Oryctolagus cuniculus: one gene and its partners. The protein of the gene in region 1 purifies or fractionates together with the protein of each later gene. This does not show direct contact. Links are inferred from orthologs where the notes say so. Each region holds a gene or a part of one and is shown in the gene's direction. Other genes may lie near its edges.

Region 1 (7,044 bases):
TTGCTAATTTTCCACTATTGGGAGTTTAGATAGATAATTCCAGTTTTTTAAATGGTTGGGAATTAACTATTATATATTAGGCTTCATTATTGATATGTCTGCAGAAGTAGTAGTGCTTGTCTCAGTGTATTGAAAAATACTGTAATGAAAATGCAACTAATACAGACTTGTAAGGACCTTAAATGATTTTTAAAAATGAGTGTTGAGGAAACCAGAAAGAGACCATTCTTCCTACTCTGTGGTAGCTAAAGTAGAGGAAAACTACTTAAAAGGTTAGCTTTGTTAATTTTCTGCTTGTTAGAATTGCTTTTTTCTTTTACAGGTTGTGAACTAAAGGCTGACAAAGATTATCACTTTAAAGTGGACAATGATGAAAATGAGCACCAGTTATCTTTAAGAACGGTACTTAAGCTTTTAAAATAAACATTTCTTGATTTCAGCAATTTAATTGTCCCCTATTTCTCTGCTTATAAGAGTTTTTATGATTGGATATTGTATATACCTCATCAATAAACTTGATTAAAAAGCTGGGCATGTTCACTGCTACCTGGTAATCTGGTAAAGTCAAGTCACCGTTTTATTATCTTGCTTCATTTGAATCATGAAAGATCTCTAGGGTGTCTGCCAGACGAACCTACTCAGCTTTGTAGTGGGTGTTTAATAGGTGTTCTGTATAATATGTGTGCATTTTTAAGTATTTCTTCAAGTTTACTGAACATGAGAAATTGGTTTGCCAATCTTACTAAACTTGAAGGTAGTGTTGGCACAAGTTGGAAATAATGATAAAAGTCATATTTGGTATTTTTAAACACAGATTTCCGAGGCAGGATTGTAAAACAGTTGGAAATTAAAGTTTACAAACTGTTCACAGGTCAGTTTAGGCGCTGGTGCCAAGGATGAACTGCACATTGTTGAAGCAGAGGCAATGAATTATGAAGGCAGCCCGATTAAAGTCACACTGGCAACGCTGAAAATGTCTGTACAGCCAACGGTAAGGGTGCTTGGATTTGGGATTTTATGTCAGGATTTAGTTCTGTTTTAATGCAGGTATTTAGGTTACTACAAGCAGTAGTAAAAATTTTTTTAAAGATTATTTGAAAGTCAGTTACAGAGAGGCAAAGAGAGGTCTTCCAATGCTGGTTCACTCCCCAAGTGATCGCAGTGGCTGGAGGTGGGCTGATTGAAGCCAGGAGCTTCCTCCAGGTGTCCCCTGCTTTCCCAGGCCATAGCAGAAATCTGGGTCAGAAGTGGAGCAGTTGCCCATACAGGATGCTGGCAATACAGGCAGCGGCTTCATCCACTTTGCCACAGTGCTGGCCCTAGAAAGTGGAATTTTATTTGGTGCTTCTTTACCCCATTAGTCATAGCTACATGTTTCTGTCACTAGAGTTGAATGGTCAGCTGTTAAAAAGGTTTCTGCTGTTAAATAGAGGGGGAAACAGACTCACTGGTTTATTTTGGTGTGTGGATTTGCCTGTAATGCTGTTCTTAAATCTCCATTTTAGGTTTCCCTTGGGGGCTTTGAAATAACACCACCTGTGGTCTTAAGGTTGAAGTGTGGTTCAGGGCCTGTGCATATTAGCGGACAGCACTTAGTAGGTATGTTCTTTTCATATACTGCATTGTATATATATATATATCATATACTGCAGTTGCTTGGCTTCTGGTTTGTACTTAAACCAGGCTTGGTTATACTATTACTGTTTATAGTGAGTTCCAGTGAGAACCTTAAATTAATGATAGTAAGGGCATGTTTAACAACAAAATCCTTTAAAAAATTCTGTTGCCATTTGCTGTCCTTTTGTTGGATTTTTAAGTGTTCAGCATTCTATAGTATTAATCTTTATTTTTCCTGAATGATTCTTGTTTGAGTTTTAAAATAAATGTCTGATAATTTTATTTTAGCTGTGGAGGAAGATGCAGAATCAGAAGACGAGGAGGAAGAGGATGTGAAGCTATTAAGTATATCTGGAAAACGATCTGCCCCTGGAGGTGGCAGCAAGGTGCCACAGGTAGAGATGTCATTTCACTGCAGATTTGCATTACAGCCTTTGTTAGGTGGTAACAATCAGCATTTGCTCATAAGTATATTTTCCTTTTTAGAAAAAAGTAAAGCTTGCTGCTGAAGAAGATGATGAAGATGACGACGACGACGATGATGATGATGAAGAGTGAGTAGCATGCTTTTATGTGCATGGGTGGTAATTTTATGGAAATGATTTACCAGAGTTATTCTGTGCAATAGTTCATAATTAAAGGGATTCATGTGGTCAGTGGTTGTCAGCAAAAAAATGTTGGGACTGAGCCTTTAAAATGCTGCTGTGCATTGTGGCTTTTCCTAAGAGTAGAGCATGCAGCATTGGTAGGAATGGGAAAGTAGAGACAGAATCCTTCCATCTATTGGCTTACTCCCCAAATGGGCTGAACCAAAGCAATGAGCCCAGGAGTTTCTTCGACCTCCCATGTGGGTTTGGGAGCCTAAGCAATTGGGCGATCTTCCACTGCTTTCCCAGACCATAAGCAGAGAGTGAATTAGAAGGGGAGCAGCTGGGACATAAACTGGCACACTTATGGGATGCTGGCACCACAGATGGAGACTTAGCCTGCTGTGCTACAGTGCCAGCCCCAGTAGATTTACTTTTTAAAATGTAACCACAGTGTCGGAATTGTCCCTTTGTGTATATAGTAAGTAGATAATGCTTAGGGAGAAAGTAAAGTATGGGTGGTCCAAATCAGCACATTTTCGAATAGAGGAGAGGGTAGTCAAAAGCATGTGTGTGCTAAGGGACGTCATGGTTGCCTCAAGGGGGCTGAGGGTTAAGAGCATGGCATGGATGATGGTTAAGATGTGAAAAGATGAAATAGCCAATTGGCAGTAGACTTTGAACAAAGAACAAGGTGAAAGGGAGATCCTCTTTTGAGGATGGAAAGGGTATGGCACAGCTTAGTTGAAATTTATATCTGGATTCTATACTAGTATTGTTGGACAGTGTCTTCTGTACTGAATACAGACTTGATTTTTAATCTTTCATCATTTTTGTTAGGTGTAAGAAGTAACTTAGAGGTGATTTGGAGTATATGTATGTGTATATGTATGCGGACACTCTTATAAGTGGTTTAAATATCCCTGGATTGTGGAATACTTGGATCCTGGAATCAACACCCTGTGCAGCCATCACCTAAAAACAATTTTCTGTTTTTACATTTATTTGAAAGAGTTAAGGAGAGAGGGAGAAACAGATCTTAACATCCACTGATTTGCCCCCAAGTGGCTACAGCAGTCAGGGTGGAGCCTAGCCAAGAGCCAGGAGTATCAGTGAGTGGGAAGTGTCTAAAACTTGGCCTTTTGAAGTTTTTTTTTAAAGACAGATTCTTTTATGTCTTAAACCGATTTATTTTTAAAACTTTTTATTTGAAAGGCAGAGTTAGAGAGGCAGAGAATCTTCCATCTGTTCACTACCTAAGTGGCCGCAACAGCTGGAACCAGGAACTTCTTCTGGATCTCCCGTGAAGGCACAGAGGCCCAAAGACTTGGGCCATCTTCTGCTTTTCCAGGCCACAGAGGAGATGGATGTGAAGTGGAACAGTTGGGTCTTGAACTGGAGTCCATACGGGGTGCTGGCACTGCAGCTGGTTTAACCCACTGCGGCACATCACCAGCTCCTTGAACCTTTTCTTGGGCCGTTATCAGGAAGCTGTATCTGAAGTGGAGTAGATGCGACACCACGTCACTAGCTGCACAAATCATTTTAAAATGGTGTAACTGAAAAAATCATTTCCCTTAGCTGTGACTCCTCATGTTCCTCAACGAATGAACTTGGTCTTTATATTTGTAGATTTGCCTATTCTAGATGTTTCGGGTAAATGGTGACTGGAGGTTTAACTCTTCGGGAAAAAAAAGCCTGGCAGTTCCTCTAAGTGCCTGAATGATTCCTGCCAGTGGTGGGTTGTATACATACCTACCCCACTGGTGTATAGTATCATTGTGGTTTTGATTTGCATTTCCATGGTGACTGGTGATGGACATATACCATATGTATATCTTTGGAGAAAAATGTTGGTCAGATCCCTTGCTCATTCAAAAATTGCTAGAGTTCTTTATATTCTGGAAGCAAGTACCTTAGGTGATTTGCAAATACTTTCTGCCATTTTCTGCCATCTTCAGTAACTTGGTGGTAGCCTTTGCATAAAAATTCGTTTTCATGAAGTACAGAATTTTTTGCTTTGCTTTTGTTAAACCTAAAACACCGTTGCCAAATCTGAGGTCGTGAAAATATACTAGTAGCTTCAGCATTCATATAGGTCTTAGATTACTGTTTGAATCACCAAGTGAGAACCCTATGTGGTTTTAGGACAGATTTTTCCAAGGAAGTCAGCATTGTTGTAGGGATTCTGTTGAATATTGTCATTAGATTTAAGTCTACTGTGAATTTTTTGTGTCTTTAGGGTTTTTTTTTTTTTTTATTTTTTTTATTTTTTAAGATTTATTTGAAAGAGTTAAACAGAGCACAGAGAGCTTCCAACCACTGGTTCACTTCCCAGATGGCCACAATGGTTGGAGTTGGGCTGATCCAAAACCAGGAGCCAGGAGCTTCTGGGTCTCTCCCATGGTTCAGGGGCCCCAGAACATGGGCCATCCACTACTGCTTTCTCAGGCCATAGCAGAAAGCTGATTCAGAAATTGAGCAGTCAGGACTCAAACCATCACCTGTATGAGATGCTGGCACAGCAGACAGAAGTTTTATCCACTCTGCCACAGTGCTGGCCCCTAGCTATTTTAACATGTCCTCAAGATTCATCCCTGTTGCAGCATGGGACAGGGTTTCCTTAAGACTGAATAGTATTCCATTGTATGTTTACAAATTTTCTTAATCTATTCAGCCATTTGGACATTTGGTTGGCTATTCTGAAAAGTGTTACAGTGAGCCTGAATGAGCAAGTATGTCTTAGAGAATGCATTCAATTCTTTCACTAGCCTCCCCCCAAATTTTGGAAGTTCTTAAATATTTTCCCTTATTTCATTTCTAGTGATGATGATGATGATTTTGATGATGAGGAAACTGAAGAAAAAGCTCCAGTGAAGAAAGTAAGTACAGTGCTATAAGGTTGTCAGAAATGACAGCTTATCTGTTGTGTAGTGCATGGAAGGAGAGAATATGGCCTTGTACTGAAAACATTAAAGGGGGGAATGATATTCATGGCCTTTTCCCACAATTTGTTAGCCTTTGGTAACCTTCTGACGAAATGCTGCATTTATGGGATTTGGCACAGTTTATTTGAACTGATAGATTTTGTTGTGGGACCTCTGATTAAGAGTGCTTTCCATTTTCAGTCTATACGAGATACCCCAGCCAAAAATGCACAGAAATCAAACCAGAATGGGAAAGACTCAAAACCATCAACACCAAGATCAAAAGTAAGTGGATAAATGTATACAGTCAAGAGGGAAGAAATGCTTGTTATTCATTGTTCCATTCCACATACTGGAGAGGTGGCTCCTAGGATTCCGGGGGTAGGGGTTGGAGCCACCATAGCTTTTTGTTACATTTACATAAGTGGTTTCTTTTTTATTTTATTTTTTTTAATTTTTGACAGGCAGAGCGGACAGTGAGAGAAACAGAGAGAAAGGTCTTCCTTTTTCCGTTGGTTTACCCCTCAATGGCCGCTGCGGCCGGCGCACCGCGCTGATCCAAAGCCAGGAGCCTGGTGCTTCTCCTGGTCTCCCATGCAGGTGCAGGGCCCAAGCACTTGGGCCATCCTCCACTGTACTCCTGGGCCACAGCAGAGAGCTGGCCTGGAAGGGGAGCAACCGGGACAGAATCCGGTGCCCTGACGAGGACTAGAACCCGGGGTTCTAGGATTAGCCTATTGAGCCTCGGCACTGGCCACATAAGTGATTTCTTATAAGGCGTATGGATTTTTTTTAAGATTTGAGAGGTAGAGTTGCAAACAGGAGAGACAGGTCTTCCATCTGCTGGTTCATTCCCTGAATGGCTGCAATAGCTGGGCTGATAGGAAGGCTGGAGCGTCTAGGTCCCCCATGCAGGTGCAGTGGCCCAAACACTTGGGCCATCTTCCATTGCTTTCTTAAGCCATAGCAGAGAGCAGGGTTGGGAGAGGAGCAGCCAGGATACCAGCCGATGCTGCAGATGGAGGCTTAGCCCACTGTGCCATAGTGCCAGCCCTAGGATTATTCATTATTGAAAGTACACGTAGTGGCACAGAGCAGAGGTTGAGCCCTGTCTACATGTTGGTATCCAGTAGAGCTAGAAGCCACCGTCTACCTTTGGAAGGTGAATTCTCTGGGGTGTGAACACCAGGCATCCAGCTATTGATTTCATTCTTTTGAACTAAATAAATGCAAATGCAAGTTATTCCTAATTATTTCAAACAGTATGGTGCAGCGTGAATATATGGAAACACCTCTGGGTTATATGCTTGCTATTGTAATAGAGGGGACTGTAGGGTCAATATTATCAATATTATATACATTAATATTAATGAACTTTTGGGCATTCAAATTTTTCCCCAGGGTCAAGAATCCTTCAAAAAACAGGAAAAAACTCCTAAAACACCAAAAGGACCTACTTCCGTAGAAGACATTAAAGCAAAAATGCAAGCAAGTATAGAAAAAGTGAGTAAACTAGCTGGTTCTATCCCCCCCTCAAACAACCTTTCTGGGTTTTGGATAAACTAAACATTACACTTTTTTAGCCTTTTAATGTACTTAACCTGTTTCATGATGATGTGAATTTTCCAAGAGAAAGGATTACTAAAATAGAACTAGTTAGCTATATTCATTTATGTTTGTCTGATTTTTTTTGCATAAGTGAAATTAAATGTGCTAAATTTAACATTGTAAAGAAAATAAGCACGTTGGATGCAAGATAAATTCTGACTTTTAGATGTTAAAATGACACGGATAAGAAAATTTCTGCTCTCTGGTTGTTGTATCCCTTTTAGAACCAGCAGAGGGCGTGTGAATCTTCAGTTAATTTGCAGATGGCTAGAAAAGTAGGAAATTCTGTGTTGGTCCTGCTTGGC
Region 2 (7,582 bases), on another chromosome or scaffold:
CCCTGTGATTTCAACTGGAAATGTGTAATTGATTACAGACCGGTGCTGTTCCAACGAACGGCACCAGAGGATTTGATGGTTTGTAAAAAGCATCGCGTTCCTTAAACCAGCCTGATCTATCATCATTTGTGTCCTTTGATCACTAAGGGCTGCTGCCAGGCTCAGCTCCAATCTTTCGATTAACTGACTGGTAAGAGGGTTCACTGGGATTTTCATCACAGGCGGGAGGAAGGCACCCCTGTCTAAGCAGGAGAAGAAGTGGTCGCTCACTGAACACAGCAAAGGCGACACCGTGCAACCAGCAGAGTGAGCCCGGCAGCTTGCCAGGCGAGCAGCGCCCTGGGACCACAGTTGGACGCTTTCCCCGCCGTGCCTCTGGGATGCTAGATAATGAAATGAACTGATGGCCCAGGCCATTTACAAGTTGAGCTTTGTGTTGTTTGCTGCTGAAAGCGATCCTAATGGAAACAATTAAAAGGCAACATTTGCCCCCTGCTGCCTATTGGTAGTCCTGGAGGGTGTGTACTCTGCCAGGGGGTTAAACAAGGTTGCTGGACAGAGGGAAGAACAGAGCTGCCGTGAGGGGATGAACAGTGAACCCAGGTTGCAATACGTAAGCGCGATGCCACAGAGAGCTGCACCTGCGGCTTTAGAAGCACTAAGGAAACACAGGCCTTCCAGGAGAGGGGCCGCTGGGGCTGAGTCTTGAAAGATACAGAGGTTAGAACAGGGCAGAGAAGTTCCATTACGAAGCAAAGCCTGTGCCTAGGAGTGGAGAGGTGGGACATGGGGTAGTGACAAGGACATGGTACAGGACGGTGCACTGTGCCATGTGCCTTGCCTGGAGTGCTAGCTTCATGCCCAGAGTTCAAGGACTCATCAGGCCAGGGCCAGCACCAAGCAATCTGCGTTGTCAGCAAGCTTCCAGAAGGTTCTGCTCTAGGTGCTCCTGTCCATGCTTGAAAGAATACTGGCTCCCCCCCCCCCCCGCCTTTTTAAGACTTCTTTATTTGAAAGGCAAAAACAGAGAGAAGGAGAGGTCTGCAGCCATACCACCCTGAATGCGCCTAATCTCAGAAGCTAAGCAGGGTTGGGCCTGGTTAGTACTTGGATGGGAGAGAGAAGGGGAGAGGGAGAGGGAGAGAGAGAGATACCGAGATCTTTCATCTGCTGGTTCACTCCCCCAAATATCCCCAACAGCCAGGACTGGGACAGGCTGAAAGGTCTCCCACGCGGGTGGCAGGGGCCCAAGGACTTGGGCCATCTTTTGCTTCTTCCCTAGGCACATTAGCCAGGAACTAGATTGGAATGGAGCAGCTGGGACTTGAACCGATGCCCATATGTGATGCTGGCATTTCAGGCAGGGGCTTAACCTGCTGTATTACAACGCCAGTCCCAACGTGCTGGTTTCTTGTTGAGGGGTTTGGACTTGAGTGTCACACAGGCCTGACTTTGATCCTCACTCTGCTAGCCACTTTGGGCAAGTTTCCTAAGCCTCAGTTTCTCCCACTGTACAACAGGGAAAATCCCGAGTTGCTATGAGTCTTAAATGAGAATGCACATGAGGCCAGTGCTGTGGCATAGAAGGTTAAGCCTCCACCTGCAGTGCTGGTGGGTGCTGGTTCCAGTTCTGGCTGCCCCATTATGATCCAGCTCCTTGCTAATGCGCCTGGGAAAAGCAGCGGAGGACGACCCAAGTGCTTGGGCCCCTGCACCCATGTGGGAGACCTGGATGAGCCTCCTGGTTCCTGGCTTTGGATCAGCCCAGCCCCGGGCTGTCGCAGCCATTTGGGTAGTGAACCAGGGGCTGGGTGATCTCTTTCTCCTTCTCTCTCTCTATCTCTGCCTTATTTATTTGAAAGTGAGAGTTACACAGAGAGAGAGAGAGAGAGCGCACTCTTCCATCCGCTGGTTCACTCCCCAAATGGCTGCAACAGCCGGAGCTACACCAATCCAGAGCCAGGAGCCAGGAGCTTCTTCCGGGTCTCCCATGTGGGTGCAGGGACTCAAGGACTTGGGCCGTCTTCTACTGCTTTCCTGGGCCATAGCAGAGAGCTGGACAGAAAGTGGAGCAGCCGGGTCTCGAACCGGCACCCATATGGGATGCTAGTGCTTCAGGCCAGGGCATTAACCTACTGTGTCACAGCGCCGGCCCCATAAATATATCTTTTTTAAAAAATAAAGAAAACGTACCTACACTAGTTCCTTGCATCTAAAGAGCAGTTCACTAAATGTTGGCCATTACAACAGTTTGAAGCAAGAAAAATGATGAGCCAAGAAAAACAGGGTTGGATCCTTAAGGGGCTTCAGTGTCAGGCTGGCATGGCATGGTGAGATGGGAATTTTAGGGCAGCTCCTGTGACAGAGTGGACCATGGTCTAGAAGGAGACCTGCCCCAGTTCAATCCAGTTGGGGGTTGTAAGGGCCTCACCCTGGGGGTGGGGCGGGGGTGGGGCTGATCCCTGGAGATGCTAAGCAGGGAGACCCTGTAGGGACTGGCGATTGAGAGCGGGGGTCAGGGGTCATAACCAGGAAGCACACAAGAGGGGTCCTCGGCTTCTGGAGCGGGAGGCGGAGTGGATGATGGTGGCATTGGGATCCGGAGTCCGTTGTCCGGGCCCACAGGCCTGTCTGCCGTCACACCACGCACGCCCCGTGGGTTCGTGCTGACTGCTGACTGGGTGCAGGAGAATCCTTTCTTCGGGGAGATCAAGTGAAGCTCAGTCTGCCTGCGGTGCTAAGGAAGTGGGAGTGAGAGTGGTGCGCAGAAGTCGGGCTGAGCAGGGACGAGAGGTGGATTGGGACTGGCAGCTAATGGGGTCCGGGCAGGTTTTATTCCCCCCTCCCCGAGGTGAAAGAGCAGAGTGTTTGTGGGGAAGAAAGATGTGGAGGTGGTGAGTGACAGGGCGAGCTCCTGGAATGCAAGAGCAGACAGAGGGCTGAGCGGTGAGCGGCGCACAGAGCGCACGTCCTCTGTGTGTGCGCAGATGTGAACACGTGGGCACAGGGGGACCGGAGGGCTCCCCTCCTGTGCTAAGTGGGACAACAGAACGCTGGTGGAGAGGGGGAGGATTAAACCCTGGGCCAGCCGCCGTGGGTAAGGGGAGAAGGCACTGATGGACGTAGAGCAGCTTCCAGCGTCCAGCGCCGAGAGCCCGCAGGTGTGCCAGGGGAACAAGCGTTGGTTCAGATCTGACCCGCATCAGTACCTTGCAGACGGGATAAGGGATCAGACTCTACAAGAGCACTGAGGGTGAGCCATGAGTCCCAGACAGTGCCAGGGCTGCCGGGGCGGCCAACCACAGCAGCACCAGACCAGAAGCAGCAAGGCCCAGACAGCTGGACTGAAACCATAGCTCAGCATCGCTGAGTCCCACGCCGCTGGACGATTTAATTAGGAGCCTTGGCAGGAAAGGTCCCTGCCACCAAGACAGAGCCCTTGGTTGTCACTGGAAAGAGGAGGGGGAAAACAGAACAATATTCATGGATAAGGTCTCATGGAGGCAGGTGCACAGGCACACGGAACAGCCCGAGCCAGGCAGGACCAACATCTTAGGTATTTACCTGTACTGTATCTTCATATAAAAGTTTATTTGCACCTACTTTAAAAGCAGAGCAACGAGAGAGAGAGAGAGAGAGAGAGAGAGAGAATCTTCCACCCACTGGTTGACTCTCAATGCCTACAACTGCCGGGGCTGGGCCAGGCCAAATCCAGGAGCCCAGAACTCCATCTGGGTCTCCATCGCCCGGTGCCTCCCGGGATGCATCAGCAGGATCGTAGCTGGGAAGCAGAACGGCGGGGCATCCAAGCAGCCCTCCCCCGTGGGAGGCAGGCGGGCAGCTCCGGAGGCAGCGGAACCTTTGCGTGGCGACGCCGGGCCCTGGCTGTGTTTTGTCTTCACGAACCGAGCTTCGGGCCGGGCTGCCTGCTGTGATCCTTTGTTTTTGATCAGCTCAGAGATGGGATCACCACAAAGCCTGTGTTTTCGTGTCTGTTGCCAGACCCTGACTTTACTGTGATAGAAAACTGTGCTCTGAGATGGTTAAGAATTCAGTTTATTCGTCCAGGGTACAAACATCATCCGAGTGCCCATGCGCACGGCCGGCCACCTGTGGCCCCAGTCGCTTCCTTCTGTGACGCTGTCACTGTGCAGGGGGCCGCCCTCCACCTGGTTCTGGGGGAGCACCCGGATTCTCTGTGCTTTCTCCCTGCAGCCCTGTGTGGCCAAAACGAACCCGGATTCTAAGCCATTAGCCGTGTTTCTTCGTCGGTGACAGTGAAGGTCTATTGAGTCCGCTGAACGAGGCCCCTTCACGCACGTTTCTACTCCGTCCTCACCACTGCCCTGTGAGCGGGTCCATCAATTTCCCTCTCTCGCAGACGAGGCTGAGCGACTCCCCCCACGGCGCCACGCTCCTCACGTATTCTGCAGAAGCGTTTGGCTTAGGGGAGCGAGAGCTCTGGGGAGGAGACAGCCGCTGTGCCTACCCTCAAATCCTTGAATGAATTCTTTGTGGCGGTCATTAGCTCCTTGCCACAGCACCAAGGGGTAGGGAGCTAAGGGTGCGAGTTACGCGGAGAGCATCTGCAATGGAACAGGTGTCTCTAGGCCAGCGCTGGAGCAGGGACTTCAGGCTGGAACCAGAGAGCCACAGGAAGTGCTTAGCAAAAACACTCGATCTCCCTTGGGAGCCGAGTGTTTTTAATGAAGAGTGGGGGGTGGGGGTTAAGGTCAAGGACCGGGAGTTTTGCTTCCCTAGCCACACGACAGAGCGCAGCGGGAGGCCGCGCGGCCCAACCTGGAGCCCGCCTGTTCCCCCCGCTGGGAATCGCGCAGCGGCCCCCGACGTCAGCCGCCTGGCGCACAGAGGCCGCCCGGCTCCCGCCCTCGTCGGCCAGTCCCGGCTGCCTACCCTCGCAGATCTGCTCCCACAGGTTTTTGCCCGGCGGCGGCGGCTCGGTGACCTGCCCCAGCGACACAGGCAGGTCGGGGGACACGGACGACACGGTGAGCGCTGGCGTCCGGGTGGTGCCGGACGAGTCGGCCGAGCTGTCCGGCTCCTCGCGCTGGCCACTGCGGCTGGGGATCTGCCGCGGAGCCGCCATGGACGCCGTTTCCACGGCAACCGCGTTCGCCTCCTGGCAGCGACCCGGAAGGAACTGGATGTCGCGGGGGCGAGCCAGCGAGTGGAAGTTGACTTCCGGGTCACGGCGGAGCGGGCTCTCACGTGGAGGCGGAGACCCTCGGCTGACGGGTGAGCGCGGTGCAAGGCGCGGCGGCGAGGGGCTGGAGACGGGGCTTGGGCATCTGCTGGCAGGAGAGGAAGGGGGCGAAGTGGCGGCGCCGCACCCCGAAATTGCCCCCTCGATCGGCGCTGCGAGCCCGCCCGAGCCTTAGGCCCCCGCCTCCAGGAAGTTGCCCGGGAGCAAGGCTCGCGGTGTGTTTCTGGGGGCGCTTGGAGAGGGGAGCCGGGGCGCCCCCGCGGTGAGCTTGGCGGGGTGGTCCGCGGGCTCCGGCGCCCCGCGGACGCGTTTGAACCCCCCGTTTTGCCACGTCCGGACCGGGATCTAGGGCCAGTGGACGCGTGGGACGTGGCTTGTGGAGAGAGCGCGGGCGCGAGGTGCCCCGGCGGTGGTTCGGTTCCCCGCCCCGCCTCGGGGAGAGCGCGGATGCGCGGCGGGCCGCGGGTTCCGAATGGCCGAGCCGGGGCGGAGGAGGGGGCGAGGCTGCGCGTCCGGCTCCCGCCGCGGCTTTGTTCTGCGCGATCCCGGGACGGCGCGCGCGCTCGGCTCCCCGGACGCGCCAGCTCCAGGTTTTCGCTTCTCCCCCTCCTTGGCGAGCGCCTGGCGGATGCCCACCTGTTGCGGCGGCGGCGGTTCCTGCGGCCGGCTCAGGTGCGCGCTGGGGCGTGGTTACCGTCGGTTTGCTCCTAAACTCCCCGCTTCCTCCTCCCGCCTCGGCACCCTGTGTCCACCCACCTGTGCAGTGAGCATCCCCACCGGGGCGGCTCCAGGCGTGTGTTCGCCGCAGCTGCCCCAGCTGCGAAGCTTTGTTCTTCAGAACTTTGCAGACTACTGGTAGGGCCGGTTCCTCGCCCTCCGTCGCCCTAACCTTGCCACGCTCTTGCTTTGGGGACTGTATCATCGTCGTCATCGGGGCGCTTAGCCTCCCGCGCCTACGGGTCGCTCGGAGGCCAATGTCTTGTGTCTGTTTCTAGCATGCATTCAGGCTCTGGGAACGCAGGGAATGCGTGAACCAGTGGCTGTTCCCTTGGTTCTCCCGGTGTTTCTGGAGCAGGTTATGAACGCCCTTTGAAGTTGCTACGAGTAAGCCAGATCCAGGGGGGCCCCTGTGGGCCGCAGGCTGGAGAAGCCCCTGTGCTTGGTTTCTGGGTGCCCTGGGTGACTCGGCTCTCAGCTGGCCCGGGGAGCAGCGGGGGCTAGGCTGCCGGCCGCGGTGAGAGGGGCCGAAGGGTGTGGAGGGCGCCCGCCCCTTCGCACAGGTGTCTCCATAACATTCAACTAGGGAGAGCCGGCTGGCTTGCTGTGTGTCATTGCCAATCAGTGAGTGCCAGCAATCAGCTTGAAGTTTCAGAAAGCGGGGAAACAGGTGTGCTGGCCGGATGTGGCCCCTAACCCTGGGGGCTTCTGGTTCGCTCTTTGTGGATGGGGGGCTGAGGTCGGGAACAGCCAAGGCTCTGTGGCAAGAGTGTGTCGGAGCCACCGGAAGCCCAGTGTTTGGGTCCTCGCTGGGGCTTCTTGCCCGTCCTTACCCCTGGTCTTGTGAGCCACACAGGAAGGCAGTTGTGAGGGGAGGTCACTCGGGGTGCAGGTGGGGGAGTTCATTGTTAGGAGAGCCCCGGATGCAGGCCTGGTTGTGGCCCCGTTGCTGCCTGGGCTGGGAGTCAGCAAGCTGACTGGTGTCTGGGATGAACAGCAGGCTTGGAGGTTTGAGGAAGGGGCTTCGAAAGAGGAATCGACAGTGTAGGACGTCCTTGGCGTGGACTGTTCTGTTTATTCCCCCAGAGAAGGAGTCGGTAGTGCCCTCCACCCCCATTTTCCAGATGGGGAAGTTGAGGCTCAGGGAGCTTAGGGTTTTGGTTTTTTTTTTTAAGGTTTATTTATTCATTTGAAAGGCAGAGTTAGAGAGGAAGAGACAGGTCTTCCATCGGCTGGTTCACTCCCCACGTAGCTGCAATGGCTGGAGTTAGGCCGGGCCAAAGCCAGGAGCCTGGAATTCTTATCTGGGTCTCCCGTGTGGATGGCAGGGGCCCAAACACTTAGGCCATCCTCCACTGCTTTCCCAGATGCATCAGCAGGGAGTTGTATCAGAAGCAGAGCAGGAGGCCGGCATTTGTGGTGCAGTAGGTTAATCCTCTGCCTGCCGTGCCAGCATCCCATATGGGCACTGGTTCGAGTCCCGGTTGCTCCCCTTCTGATCCAGCTCTCTGTTATAGCCTGGGATAGCAGGAGAAGATGGCTCCCTGCACCCGCATGGGAGACTTGGAAGAAGCTCCTGGCTCCTGGTTTTGGATCCGCCCAGCTCCAGCTGTTGTGGCCATCTGGGGAGTGAACCAGCGG
Region 3 (6,221 bases), on another chromosome or scaffold:
CGGCACACCAAACGGCACACCCGACACATGGAAGAAAAGGAAACGCCGACTGTGTCCAGGATGGCGCACGGCTTCCTCTGAGCCCCTGCCTCCTGGTCCCTGCCTCTGGACATGGGGCACTTCTCGGTTCTGGGCTCTGGGGGCTGCCCACAAGGCCCAGAGCCGAGGGCCAGCTCCGGCGGTCTGAGAACCAAGCTAAGCGGTGGGTCCCTGGGTCAGTTAGAACGCAGAGCGGCCTGGGAGTGCGGGAGGCCAGCGGCACAGGGGCCAGGCCCTGGCAGCAGGGGCAGGGAGGGCGCCTCTCCCCACCGCTGCCCTCACCTGGCTGTAACCACAGCTGCCGGAGGGCCACGGCCTGCTGGCTCCCAGTGTCTGGGCGGAGCCGTGGTCTGCCTGCGTCCACTCCGTTCCCAGCTTGCCAGGTCTGTGCCAGGCAGAGCCGCGTCGGCACGCTTCTTCACTAGGGCTGGGTCGGGCCAAAGCCAAAAGCCAGGAACTCAAGCACCAGGGCCATCGCCAGCTGCTTCCCAGGAGCACTGGCAGGAAGCTGGATCCCAGGCATTCCGACACGGGACGCAGAGCACGGGCACCACAGTGCCCGCCCCCGACCGTCCACCTTCTAACCAGACAGGCAGGCCAAGCTGGTGAGCTTGGACAGCTGCAGCCGAGCACTTCAGCGGACCCCAGGCCCCAGGGCCAGAATCCCCAGGACCCTCTCCCGGCAGTAAGTGATCTCTGCCCTTGTAGCACCGGGCCCTGGACCGGCCATTCCCAACACCGCCTCCCTGCACCCTCGGGACAAGCCTGTACGCGGCAGCGTGATTATCACCTCCACCCCCGCCCCTGCACGGGAGGGGAGGGAACGGTGGCCCAGAGCACACAGCTCACATGTCCCCGACTGCAGAGCTGATGAGAGAGGGGCTGCGTGTGGCCAGCCGGACCCCAGCCCAACGTAGCTTCCAGGGCTGCCCGAGTGGGCCCAAGTGGGCAGTAGCCACTGGATAGAGCCTTCCGGAGCATCCACAGGTGGCCACGCCGGCCTCAGGCACCCTGGGCAGGGAGCAATGGAGCGGGATCCCCTGCCCGTCACCCCTACCTGCTCAAGGGCCTCCCAGGACACAGATCAGAGGCCATTCCTCGTTCAACCTCCTGTCCACTACGTCCCACACAGCCAGGGGAGATCACACAACCCCAGCCACGTCCCCACGGGAGACAACTACCCCACGATCCAGCCACCGAGATCAGATCCCGGATTAAACGCCAGAGAGAGAGCCAGGCTTGGGCAGGATCCGAGGACGGCCCCTGAGGCACGCGGGTGCCGCCTATAGCAGGAGCGGTGGAAGCCCCTGCTGTGGCCACACCCCAGCATCGAAGGCATCACTGCCTCCGGAGGAAGGCACGGACAGCCCAGCGGGAGACGCCCAAGACGTCTCGCCCAGACAGCGAGACGAGCAGGGCAGGGAGTGGGGAGGCCACGGGAGCCCAGTGCCCCTCAGCAGCGGCCTGCCGGGACCCTGGGGCAGACCCCACGATGGCTCCGAGTCAGTTATTCCCACCCCGAGGTCCACGGCCCAGGGACCACGAGAGTAAGGTGTCCTGGGTCTCTGAGCAGCCACACCAGAGCCCCACCACGTGGAGCCGACAGAGCACTCCCCACACCCGCCCCTGGCTCTGGCTGCTGGCTCTGTGTGGCTCCCAAAGGCTAAGTCACGGCTTCATAGACACAGCTTCCCCGCGAGGACGGGGTCCCAAAGAGACGGAAGGGTTTTCAAAAACTACAACGAGGAGCCCAAAGGCTGGGCCTGCCCTTGGTCCCAGCCTCGCTTCCGGAGTGAGCGCAGCCACCTCCCGTGGCTCCCCCAGCAGGTACCTCCGGAAAGCACCCCGGTCCTCGGCCAGCTGTCCCGCCACATCTCTCCACGGCGCCTGCAGCACACGGGCCGAGAGCCCAGGGGGACCCCTGAGCAGAACCCCCCAGGGCAGCAGACAGGCCCACCCCAATGCCAGCCCCCGCACAGGGTGACGTGTCGCCACAGACCATCAGCAGAGACGACGGCCCACAGCTGGCCATGGCCGGGAGGTCATCAGCCCAGAGCTGCACGGCCAGGTCCCCAGCACGGGGCAGCTCCGTGGCCTCGTGGAAAGGAAGCCGTCCACTCGAGCAGCGCCAGCACCCCCCCCAGTGCCCCCCCACTGCGGGGCCCGGGCCCGGCCACCAGCTCTGCGAGCCACAGAGAGCACGAGGCTTGGGCCGCAGGCTCCAGGGAGTGGGACCACGGCAGCAACGGGGCAGCCCACCATGCCTGGGAGCCAACTGACCCTGCAGCCAACACGCACGGAGCCCGGGCAGTGAGGACGTGACAGAACGGACGCCAGCGTCTGCACGCTGAAAGTGCTGCAAACGTCCCGGAACCACCCACACACTCCCCGGCTCCAGAGCTTCGGAGCATACAGCGTCGGCTTGCGCGACCAGCGATCCTCCTGCCCAGTTCCTTAAACGGCGATGACAACGCCACGTGGGGGAAACAGATGCCGGCCGACCTAGCTCCCCACCCGCACCTCGGGGTCCAGGCTGCGGGTGGGGTGGGGGATCTCATGCACGGGGGACCTCATGGCCAAGTCCATTTGGGATACAAACGGGTTTCCGCAAGGCCAAACAGCTGGCCTGTGCAGTCCCACCAGAGTCCACGCCTCAGGAACGGGGCGCTGACTACGGGGGGGTGGGGGGGGGTGCCAGCCCTCTCGCTTGGTCCCAGAAGTCTCTGTTCACAGCACGTCAGGTGTCCCACAATCCGGGAAACAGCTGGCCTGGATTTCAGGAGGGCAGAGGGAGCCCCCAATGGTAGAACTCGGGGCCAGGGGGCCAGGGGGCCAGACAAGGGTGGGCGAGGCCGCTCCCTGGACAGCTCTGCTGGACACCAGGCAGAGGTGGGAGGACGAGAGCCCTGTCCTCAAGGCCCCCCGGGCTGCATGGACCCTGGGAAGTTCCAGAACACGAGGAGAGGGATCTGGCCGTAGAAGCCGTCATGGCGGGGAGCGCGGCCCGCCAAGCCGACACGTTCCAGCTCTGAGCACCGGAGAACGGCACAGCACCCGAGACAGCCCAGCTGCCGGTTTTAGGAAGGTTAACCAGGGCGCGCCATACAAAACACGGGCACAGGGAACGTTCCGGGGAGGCAGGGCAACTGGATGCCAGTGCTGTCTTCCACTCCAAATCCAGTCTTTCACGGAATGAGCACAGGCCTTGGAGCCGGGAGGGCAGGGACCCCCGCCAGGGCAGAGGCCACCCGCGAGGCCGCACCCCGATTCTCCCCCAGCCGCTCCCCTCTGGAAGCCACGTTCCCGCTGCACACCTGGAGCCACGGCCTGCGCCCCCAGAAGCCAGCCCTAGAACCCCGCTCGCTCGAAAGCCACCATGCCGTAGGGAGCACGTGGCGCTTCCCGCCCGGTGACCGCCCGCCAGGGTGGGCCACGCAAGGTGGCACCGAGTGGGGAGGGCGCCCGGGCGGGCGGACGTGCTTGGGCGGCTCTGAACGCCCCGTTGAGCAACTTCCTGAGGGCGCTGCCAGGCAGGCGCCGCCTGCCCATCCGGGCTCACAGAGGTGCAGCCCTCTGCCGAATCCGAGGTGCCTCCAGGTTGTTCTGGAAAGAAGGAGGAGGGGAGCTGTGACTCACCCAGTAATACACCCGCCCTGCGGCTGCCGCTGAAACTAGTTTGCATTATAGGGCTGGTCCCAAGCAGGCACGGGGGGCGAGCCGCGCAGAAGCGGCACCGGCCGCCCGGCCCCACGGCACCTCTCCAGCGCTCCCCGAGCTTCCAACGACCCACGAATTGCCAGGCTGGCGCCCCCACAGGCCACACATCATCTGAATTGGACAGCCAGCGGCCAGCTCGCCACAGGCCACTTAAAATGCAGCCCGCGGCTCTCCGCCCGACCGCCGCGAGCCGCCATCATGGACACGAGTGGAGTGCAGCCCATCAAACTGGCCAGGGTCACCTGGCTCTCAGGACAGCGCACGCAGGTGCGCGTGGAGTTCATGGACGACACAAGCCACTCCACCATCCGCAACGTGAAAGGCCCCGTGCGCGAGGGCGGCGTGCTCACCCTGCTGGAGTCCGAGCGGGAGGCTCGGAGGCTGCGCTGATGCCGCCGCGCAGGGGGTGAAAAAAAAAAAAAAAAAAGAAAGAAAGAAATGCAGCCCGCGGACACCTGCTGATGTCACTGTTTACTTCTTCAGTCCATAGATCAAAAGGCGGACCCTGAAGTGTGCACGGGGTCTAAGGGAACAACGAAGACGGACTTGGCACAGCCGGGGCCACGGAGATTAAAACAGCAGCAAACGGCACAGAGAGCCGCCCCGGCCCCTGAAGCCCCACAGAAGGATCCGGAGGCAGGAGCCAGGCGCCTGGAGACGCTGCACAGGGGGACAAGATAGAGCATTCCAGGAAGGTGCCGGGCAGCTCCCCACCTGCTGGCCAGATCCCAACCCCAAACTGCACACCAAAATAATAAATAAATCAGACACAGCAGTGCTTGATTGGAACACACACAACAATAAGAGCCCCGGAAGGGAACACAGGCAAACGTGCTTGCAGTCTGAGCCCGGGTGAGGGGCCTGCTACAGACCCGAGGGAAAACCTGGGACACAGACAAGAGCTGCACAACCGGACAGCAACTCAGCAGAGGTGGGCAGAGGCCAAGAGCAGGCGACTTGCAGAACCAGCAGTGAGGGAGGCGCGAACCAGAACGTGGTATAATTCTTAACCAACTCGGGACCCAAATGCAAGAACCCCAGAACCCGAGTGGGGAGGACGCGGCAGAGCGGGCGCCCCCACGGACAACGGCAGGGGTCACTCTGCCAGGGTGTGGATCTGCACAGCCTTCTGGGATGGCTGTCGCCAGCATCTTTAAAACCACAAATGGAGGCGCTGGCACCGAGGCGGCAGGTGAAGCCATCACCTACAGCGCCAGCATCCCATGTGGACGCCAGTGCGAATCCTGGCTGCTCCCACCTCCGGCCCAGCTCTGCTGTGGCCTGGGAAAGCAGTGGAGGACGGCCAAGTGCTTGGGCCCCTGCACCCACGTGGGAGACCCGGAAGAAGCTCCTGGCTCCTGGCTTCAGATCAGCGCTGGGGAGTGACCCAGCGGATGGAAGATCTCGATCTCTCTCTCTCTTTCCTCTCTGCTTCTGCCTCTCTGTAACTTTTCCTTCCAAATAAATAAATCTTAAAAAAAAAATAGATATGCACAGCCATCTGCAGTGCCGTCATCACCTATGGGCGCTGGTTCAAGTCCCGGCTGCTCCACTTCCGATCCAGCTCCCTGCTAACACACCTGGGAAAGCAGCAGAGGACGGCCCAAGCCTGGACCACTGCCACCCACGTGGGAGACTCGGATGGAGTTCCAGGTTCCCGGTGTCGGCCTGGCCCAGCCTCAGCCATTGTGGCCATGTGGGGAGTGAACCCACAGAGGGAAGATCTCTCACTCCCTCTCTCCAACTCTTTCAAATAAACAAGCCCTAAAAAGCAAATATAAACGACGTGTTCTCCCTGGGAACGTTTTCTCACAGGTGCACGGAGACAGCGAGGGTCACTGTGGCGTGCCGTCTAATAGCGAGAAAGCCTGGAGAAAGGCAAATGCCGGGAACGCCCGGTGCACCTGCGCGCTGCCAAATGCCGCTCGGCCTTTTTTTTTTTTTTTTTTTTTTTTTTTTTTGACAGGCAGAGTGGACAGTGAGAGAGAGAGACAGAGAGAAAGGTCTTCCTTTTGCCGTTGGTTCACCCTCCAATGGCCGCCGCGGCCAGCGCGCTGCGGCCGGCGCACCGCGCTGATCCGATGGCAGGAGCCAGGAGCCAGGTGCTTTTCCTGGTCTCCCATGGGGTGCAGGGCCCAAGCACTTGGGCCATCCTCCACTGCACTCCCTGGCCACAGCAGAGAGCTGGCCTGGAAGAGGGGCAACCGGGACAGAATCCGGCGCCCCGACCGGGACTAGAACCTGGTGTGCCGGCGCCACTAGGTGGAGGATTAGCCTAGTGAGCCGCGGCGCCGGCCGCCGCTCGGCTTTTGAGAAGCAAGGGTTCAGCTCCAGCCATTGTGGCCATCTGGGGAGTGAACCAGTGGACAGAAGACCTGTGTGTGTGTGTCTGTCTCTCTGTCTCTCTGTCTTTCAAATAAAATAAATAAGTCTTTGAAAAAAAAAAAATCTCCTTTGCCAAGGCA

The links. Proteins that work in one complex are often made in the same cells at the same time.
Region 2: the proteins of NPM1 (region 1) and KNOP1 purify together in Homo sapiens (affinity purification with mass spectrometry; 3 studies listed by BioGRID and IntAct, counting the BioPlex papers as one, with this or other methods). This does not show direct contact. The link is inferred for Oryctolagus cuniculus from reciprocal best matches to the Homo sapiens genes NPM1 and KNOP1.
Region 3: the proteins of NPM1 (region 1) and small ribosomal subunit protein eS28 purify together in Homo sapiens (affinity purification with mass spectrometry; 3 studies listed by BioGRID and IntAct, with this or other methods). This does not show direct contact. The link is inferred for Oryctolagus cuniculus from reciprocal best matches to the Homo sapiens genes NPM1 and RPS28.

What each region holds. Positions count from the first base shown.
Region 1 is NC_091437.1:58,116,892-58,123,935, forward strand, and holds part of NPM1 (nucleophosmin), read left to right. Parts: intron 1-322; coding exon 323-402; intron 403-871; coding exon 872-991; intron 992-1,505; coding exon 1,506-1,599; intron 1,600-1,905; coding exon 1,906-2,012; intron 2,013-2,103; coding exon 2,104-2,171; intron 2,172-5,028; coding exon 5,029-5,086; intron 5,087-5,332; coding exon 5,333-5,416; intron 5,417-6,532; coding exon 6,533-6,634; intron 6,635-7,044. UniProt on the Homo sapiens protein: Involved in diverse cellular processes such as ribosome biogenesis, centrosome duplication, protein chaperoning, histone assembly, cell proliferation, and regulation of tumor suppressors p53/TP53 and ARF.
Region 2 is NC_091450.1:21,652,402-21,659,983, reverse strand, and holds the start of KNOP1 (lysine-rich nucleolar protein 1), read left to right. Parts: upstream 1-3,580; 5' UTR 3,581-4,706; coding exon 4,707-5,256; exon of another isoform or gene 5,257-5,439; intron 5,440-5,657; exon of another isoform or gene 5,658-5,896; intron 5,897-7,582.
Region 3 is NC_091432.1:4,207,671-4,213,891, forward strand, and holds small ribosomal subunit protein eS28, read left to right. Parts: upstream 1-3,675; 5' UTR 3,676-3,954; coding exon 3,955-4,146; 3' UTR 4,147-4,519; downstream 4,520-6,221. UniProt on the Homo sapiens protein: Component of the small ribosomal subunit. The ribosome is a large ribonucleoprotein complex responsible for the synthesis of proteins in the cell. Part of the small subunit (SSU) processome, first precursor of the small eukaryotic ribosomal subunit.